Linked DNA regions of Sus scrofa. The protein of the gene in region 1 interacts with the protein of each later gene in a pairwise test. Links are inferred from orthologs where the notes say so. Each region holds a gene or a part of one and is shown on either strand. Other genes may lie near its edges.

Region 1 (3,814 bases):
AAGCAGAAGTGATGTGTGAAACTTTATGTTTATGCTATTAAAAGGAAGAAAGGTGTTCTTTTTCTCTTTTATGCTTCCTGGGAGCTAGAATATGGAAGGAGAGTGAAGTGGTTACATTGTGTAAATAAGAACGCACTATGGGTGACAGAGGAACAGAAAAGAAGGAACCTCATCTTTGAGAACTTCATGGAACAGAACTGGGATACTGACCTGGGCTTTTCTGCAAAAAAAAAAATAAATAAATTTATATCCTCTTTCAGCCATTTTTGTGTTGGGTGTCTGCTAAAACATTTAACAGCTATTTTAATCATCACTAACCTTAAGATCCCTTTCAACTCCAAGAATCTATGAAAATATTAAGAAAATACAGTAATTGCATTTTAATAACAATACAGTAGGGTATGAGGAATTCAAAGAACTTTTATCTAAAAATATAAAAGGCAGAATTCATTATATGTACTATCTTCACAGCTTGCTACCTATCTTAATTAATGGATAAAATTAATATTCACCTACTTTTGGTTCACAGAATTGAAAAGCTCATGTACACATTCTGGTATCAGAAGAAATGCTTAGATATTAATAGGAAAGTTTCAGAAGAACAGGAAATAAGATATTATATCCCATCAGAGAGGAGTTCTCTGATAAGATAAAGAGTAGTTAAGGGTGATGACTTTTAACGAATTCACGATTCCCAAAGTCATGAGGCAATATTTATTGTTAAAATAATTATCGTTGTTGGCATTATCTAATGCAAACAGTTTGAACCACAGCATCAAATGGACCTGGGTGGAAAAATTAGCTGAACCTTGCTAGGGCTGTGAACCCGGGAAAATTACCTAAACTGTGTGCTTCAGTTATCCCGGCTACACAATAGAAACAATACATCCCACATAGATATGCTAGAAAAATTAAATGAAACGGGGTCTCCAGAGTATCTCCAAGTGCTGTCACTCTACACGTACTCGATAGTTTCCTTCAACCTCATCTTTATGTGAATTTTTAATAATCTAGTCATAAAAATAACTTTAGACATAACATTTAGCATCTCTAGGTAACATGGCAAGCATCTAGAAGATGACTTACAACTTACAGGTGTTTGTTTTGTGAATAATACTTCTTTTTCCTTTTTTTTTTTAAGTGCTTTTTTTCTTTTTCTTTCTTTTTTTTTTTTTTTTTTTTTTTTTGGCAGATCCCAGAGTGCGTGAAGTTCCTGGGCCAGAGATTGAACAGGGATTGAACCCAAGCCACAGCAGTGACAATGCCGGGTCCTTAACCCACTGCGCCACAGAGGAACTCCCTCAGCTGTCCCCCTTTTTTTCTTGTTAGGGCCACACTCGTGGCATATGGAGGTTCCCAGGCGAGGGGCTGAATCAGAGTTGCAGCTGCTGGTCTACACCACAACACCACCAGATCTGAGCAGAGTCTGCAACCTACACCACAGTTCACGGCAACATCAATCCTTAATCCACTGAGCAGGGCCAGGGAGCAAATCCACATCCTCATGGATACTAGTCGGGTTCCTTACACTGAGTCACAATGGAACTCCCTACTGTATAATATTCCTCAATTCTTCCTTATTGTCCTGTGTGCTAAGTAGCTTTTTTTTTTTTTTTTTTTTTTTGTCTTTCTGCTATTTCTTGGGCCGCTCCCGGGGCATATGGAGGTTCCCAGGCTAGGGGTCCAATTGCACCTGTTGCTACCGGCCTACGCCAGAGCCACAGCAACGCGGGGTCCGAGCCGCCTCTGCAACCTACACCACAGCTCGCGGCCAACGCCGGATCGTTAACCCACAGAGCAAGGGCAGGGACCGAACCCGCAACCTCATGGTTCCTAGTGGGATTCGTTAACCACTGCTCCACGATGGGAACTCCGTAGCATGTTTTCACTGGGCTCCTGCCTAACTGTAAATTTGTTTTTTTCTCTGATCAAATAGACCCCAGTTTCAAACAGACCCTAGTTTTGTTCAAGGTATCCATCCCTCTCTCACCCACTCATAAGCTTCATGAAAATTCCTTCCATCCTCGGCTTCAGACTTGGATTCGATGTCCTAAGGTTCTTGCCACCTCCTTGCAAGATTGGCTCAGAAATGAACACATGACCCAACTTGAGCCAGTGAGACACGAGCGGTTTGCTGAGGTCTTCTGGGAAAGTTTCTCCTCATTCCTCTGGCAGCACTTAGGTATGCAGTGCTTTCTCTTATAGCCGCTCCGTATTGCTGCTCCACGCTGTAAGGAGGGGTTGCAGCAACATATTGCTACTGGCTGCATGGTGCAGTCAACACACAGAGGAGGAAAAATGGATAAAGTCAGCGGTTGAAACCTGGCCTACTTCCAGATTTCCAGTTATGTGATACAACTCATTTCTTTGTTATTTAAGCCATTGGAGCTTCGTTTTCTGTTAGAGCAGCTTATCAGATCCATTGTACAAACGTTATTGATATCTGAGCAAGCCCATCTAATTCCAGTGGTCAAAAGTTTGACCTCAGTATCTCTCCATTTCAGCTCTTCTGATAGAGAGCTTCGTGTTGGGTAATTTTTAGATGCTCCTTCTGTCAGGTTTGAGTTTTCACCTCAAATAGGACGTTTCCTGAGTCACATAGCATTTATTTAACTCATCTGAACTGATGCTTCTCAATGTAAAGCTACATGAGATTTGAAAACATTTTTCTTTTTCCTGAGGAAGACAAAAGGTTCTGGAAACATTTTACCTACATGCATTTCCATGCACTATTTTTATGCTACTTACTTGGCTTGATTTGGGGCCAATCAGCTTGTTCTATTCTGTGGTCTTCATACTTTATGTCCAAATATGCAAATATATAACGAATAATTTCTGCTCTCCCCCTCATATTAAAATAAGTGAGTTTGTAGTTTGGCATGGTGTGATTCTAGAAAGAGAAAAATAGAGGGATTATTTTAACAGCCCTCTAGAGATGTTTCCACATTTTTCTTGGCAGACTTTTTGAAAACTTTATGGCATCTTCTGAGATAACCGGAGGTATTAGAGAATATTTCAAAACCAGAATTATAAATCACTAGCCTAATAACACACGGGGAAGACTTGAGAGAAATAAGAGCATCACTGTCTCCCTTTAAAAACCAGCTGGAACATTCCTGTGAAATAACCAAAGTCAAGCTTTATTTATAAAAGGATATCAGAGTAAAGTAAAAGGATTTCGGAGTAAGAGGGTATCTATATGCCAACCTGCAGAGGAGAAAGTCAAAAATTTTCCATTTTAAGATATTTTTGTCCTGCCTTCAGCCAGTTGTAATGAGTGGTGGTTGACATTTGGTTTGCTGTTTGCTTTGGTGACACAGCTGAGTGTGTGAGGACAGCTGGGTAAGGATTGCAAGGGCAGGGTACATGTAAGAGGCATGTGAACCGGCCATGTCAACCTGTCATCCCCTCTCTTTCCTTCTCTGCTGCTTTTCCCCTTAGGCGTCAAGGGCTTGGGAAATTTTTGCTCGCTTCTCTTGTGCTACATCCATGCTCCAAAGAATTTATTGGGTTGCGTGTACCATACAAACATACCCCTTCGTGGGGACATCTGCTGGGATGGGACAATGGTGAGCATCGTTCTTTATTCCCAAGGAAGGAAGAAAGCCAACTTTCCTTACATTTGAGAAAGTTTCCTCATGCTGACCATATTGGTTAGATGGAGGTCATTACAGAATACTCAGAGAGTATTCTGTAATCTGTATCATTTCATTTCCACTGTTTCATAGACAGTTAATGATAAGCACTAAAGTAGAATGCATTATCATTTTCTAATGATTAGCCAACTGTGAAAGAAACATTTCCATTTGAAATT
Region 2 (3,308 bases), on another chromosome or scaffold:
GACTCACATTCCTCTGAGCCATGTCCTCTCCACCACTTACCCCTCATCTTGTTCCTTGTTTCTGTGACAAGAGTGGTGTCTGCATTGATAGACCAGGAAGCTGAGGAAGCTGAGGCCGAGGGAGGTGAAGCCACTTGCCCCAGGCCACAGACCTCTGGGTTGGGAAGGAGTCCCAGGCTCCCATGATCTACCTCAGCCGGCTGACCCCCAGGCCTGGCCCCGAGCACAGGAGAGAGCCATTGTCTGAGCTCTGGGCCTTCCCAGCCTAGAGATGTATCCTGCTTTTGTTTGCAGAGCCTTTGTTTGTTGTATTTCCTCCGCCTGGGCTCCTGTCTGTGGACATGAGGCCTGGCACTGGGAGCCTGCTCCAGGGTCCCTCTGATCAGCAGTCTGTCCTCACCTCGACTGAGCTGCGTCACCCGGGGGTGGCAGATGAAGAGGGACCTTGGGGGTGATAGGGCTTCTCTGAGCCTGGAGCATGGCCTTTGCTGGGGAGAGCTGGGTGGCCTGGAGGTCTGATGGCCCAGCACAGCCTGCAGGCATTGGTGCCTGATGATGAGGAAAGCTAGCAGAAGGGGTTGCTGGGGAGGTCTTGGTGCCCTAAGGAGGGCAGGCTGGGCCCAAGGTCTGTGGTGGCAGGCGGAGCCTTCAGAGACTGCACTGTGGGGAAGCTGAGGGCTTGGGACATGTTCTGCCTTCCCAGTGGTACCCCAGGGACCCCACATCTTTCTGTTCCTCTGCAGGTTCTCCCTCTGCACAACATGGACACACGAGGCTGCGAGGCTCCTGAGGGCTCAGCTTGGACCGCAATGGGGCTGGGCTGCAGCCTCCTAACGGGGCTCTTGTCTGGGGCGGTGGCTGGGGGGTGCCCTGCCCCCTGCCCTTGTCTCCAAGCACCCTCTCCCGTCCCCCACCGGGTGAGGCCTGCCCCAGGGCCTGGTGCCCACCATGAATGGCCTGTCAGTGACCGAGCTCTGCTGCCTCTTTTGCTGCCCGCCCTGTCCTGGCCGCATTGCTGCCAAGCTCGCCTTCCTGCCTCCGGAGCCCACCTATTCGCTGATGCCTGAGCCGGAACCTGGACCCGGCGGGGCTGGGGCCGCCCCCTCGGGGACCCTGCGGGCCTCAGCTGGCACCCCTGGGCGCTGGAAGCTCCACCTGATGGAGCGCGCTGACTTCCAGTACAGCCAGCGTGAGCTGGACACCATCGAGGTCTTCCTGACCAAGAGCAGCCGCGGCAACCGCATCTCCTGCATGTACGTGCGCTGCGTGCCAGGCGCCAGGTGAGATCCAGGCCCGGGATATGCTCCGTCCTCAGGGATCTCCTTTTGGCTGGTGCCCTGCTAGGACCAGAGCTTGCATGAGCCCATCTGGCGGAGTGGATGCCCCCAGGATTTTTCTTGCTCAAGGGGCAGTGGATGAGATCCGCCCCTGGCCACCAAGGAACTGCCACAGGCAGCCTGTCTTGGGATGAAAAGACCCCATAGCAAAGTGGCTTCTAGTGGCTGAGTCATGCCATTTGCTCACCATAGAGCCTCCTGCTTCCGGGTTTCAGTCTTTACCTGCCCAGGGATGGTCTCCAGGGCTCTTGGTCCCCATTGAGGCCTCAGCACCTGCTTTGAGGCTGGGGCACCTGTAGCCTGGCTGGCAGCTTGGGCCAAGTCTGACTCCCTGTTCCTACTGTGGGGCAGAGGTGGGGGCTTCCAGGTGCTTCTGCCCTCAAACCAGCCGGGTTCTGGCTCTGGATTGAGTCCAAAGGGCAGGCTTTTACCTTTCGGCTGGACTGGGCTGGGCTCGGCTGGGTGGGGGCCAGTGGCACCAGAGGAGGAAGACTCTGGAAGTGTCCATCGGCTAGGACCAGCCTGGTTACCTGCCCTGGGCATGCGGGCCTTGCAGGGCTGCCTTGGGCCCCAAGGCAGAAATGAGGGCGTGGTCATTCTCTAGGAGGGGAGCTTCAGCCCTCTGAACAGGGCTTGGCCTCACTTGTGGGCAGTCCTGGTGACAGAAAGCTGCTGTCTTGTGCAGCAGACATAGGTGCCCGCCCTCCTCAGGGCTGTCAGAGTCCCTTCGAAAGGAATGATTCCAGAGGAGAGGCAGCTGCTGCCCAGGGGCATAGGCATCTTAGCTGTGATGGGCACTGTGGCTTCCTGAGCTCGTGCTGGCGCTCCACCTGTGCTGAGAACCTGACTAGGTCCTTGTGGTTTCTTTCACGGGCTGAAGCCTGATGCCCTTCTGTCTCTCCTGGTGGGTACCTCTTCCCCCGCCCCTGCTCCCTTGCCCCCTGACCTGTGCTTCCACCGCCCACCCGCAGATATACGGTTCTCTTCTCGCATGGCAATGCAGTGGACCTGGGCCAGATGAGCAGCTTCTACATCGGCCTGGGCACGCGCATCAACTGCAACATCTTCTCCTATGATTACTCCGGCTACGGCGTCAGCTCTGGCAAGCCCTCGGAGAAGAACCTCTACGCCGACATTGATGCTGCCTGGCAGGCCCTGCGTACCAGGTGAGCATGGCACCGCGGGGGGCGGGGGGGAAAGCAGCACGGCTCCTCACAGGTGATTGGACTGGGTGAAACTGGTGGTTTGAAGGTACCCATACTGGCACTGGGGCTGCCTTCCAGGGAGGGAGGAAGCCTGGGTCGGTGGCCCTGCAGGAGAGGGACCCTATCTGTGGCCACACTGGACCTCAGGGTGAGGCCTGACCTATGTTCCCCTGCATGGTGACAGGCGTGCTTGGTGTGCAGGGAGGCAGGCTGGCTGTCCTCTCACCTCCCTGGGGTTGGCCCCTCCTGGGAGCCTCTTGCCTGGGCAGGGGCATGGACAGGGCCTGGAGGCATCCCTCTGGGGGTGGAGGCTCTGCCTGGAGGGAGTGGTGTGCAGAGGACTTGGGCCCAGCGGTGGCGTGTGAAGGCTGTGTAAAAGGACTGGGAGGCCGAGGCTGAGGGAGCACTTGGGGTGCAGGGTGGGGCCAGGCCTCTGATTCAGGCTTCTGATTGTGGAACTTGGCCTTATCCTGAGGGTGGGGCTCCTCTGGGCCTGGAAGATTCTTTTAGGCAGCTCGTTACCCAGCGCAGCCCTGGTAGCTGGTGGGATTGTCAACTGGCAGAAGTTGGGTCCTCCCTGGGTATAGTGCAGTGTGGCCCTGCACCTATTCTGATCTGTAGGGAGATCACCTGACCCCCACTTCCCGGAGGTGGCACACACTGCCTGCTCGGCATAGCCCCATCTTGGCCTGCCTGGCTGACTTGGGCAACCAGCTCCTGCGGGGACCAGAGCCAGCCTGCCCTGGGGAGACGGGGCATGGTTGCT

What was found.
Region 2: the proteins of HPGDS (region 1) and ABHD17A interact in binary tests that used the Homo sapiens proteins (3 or more experiments, as listed by UniProt). The two-hybrid records come from large-scale screens. The link is inferred for Sus scrofa from reciprocal best matches to the Homo sapiens genes HPGDS and ABHD17A.

Annotation. Positions count from the first base shown.
Region 1 is NC_010450.4:125,382,134-125,385,947, reverse strand, and holds part of HPGDS (hematopoietic prostaglandin D synthase), read right to left. Parts: intron 2,891-3,814; coding exon 2,749-2,890; intron 1-2,748. UniProt on the Homo sapiens protein: Bifunctional enzyme which catalyzes both the conversion of PGH2 to PGD2, a prostaglandin involved in smooth muscle contraction/relaxation and a potent inhibitor of platelet aggregation, and the conjugation of glutathione with a wide range of aryl halides and organic isothiocyanates.
Region 2 is NC_010444.4:76,660,834-76,664,141, forward strand, and holds part of ABHD17A (protein ABHD17A), read left to right. Parts: intron 1-743; 5' UTR 744-948; coding exon 949-1,280; intron 1,281-2,308; coding exon 2,309-2,503; intron 2,504-3,308. UniProt on the Homo sapiens protein: Hydrolyzes fatty acids from S-acylated cysteine residues in proteins. Has depalmitoylating activity towards NRAS. Has depalmitoylating activity towards DLG4/PSD95. May have depalmitoylating activity towards MAP6.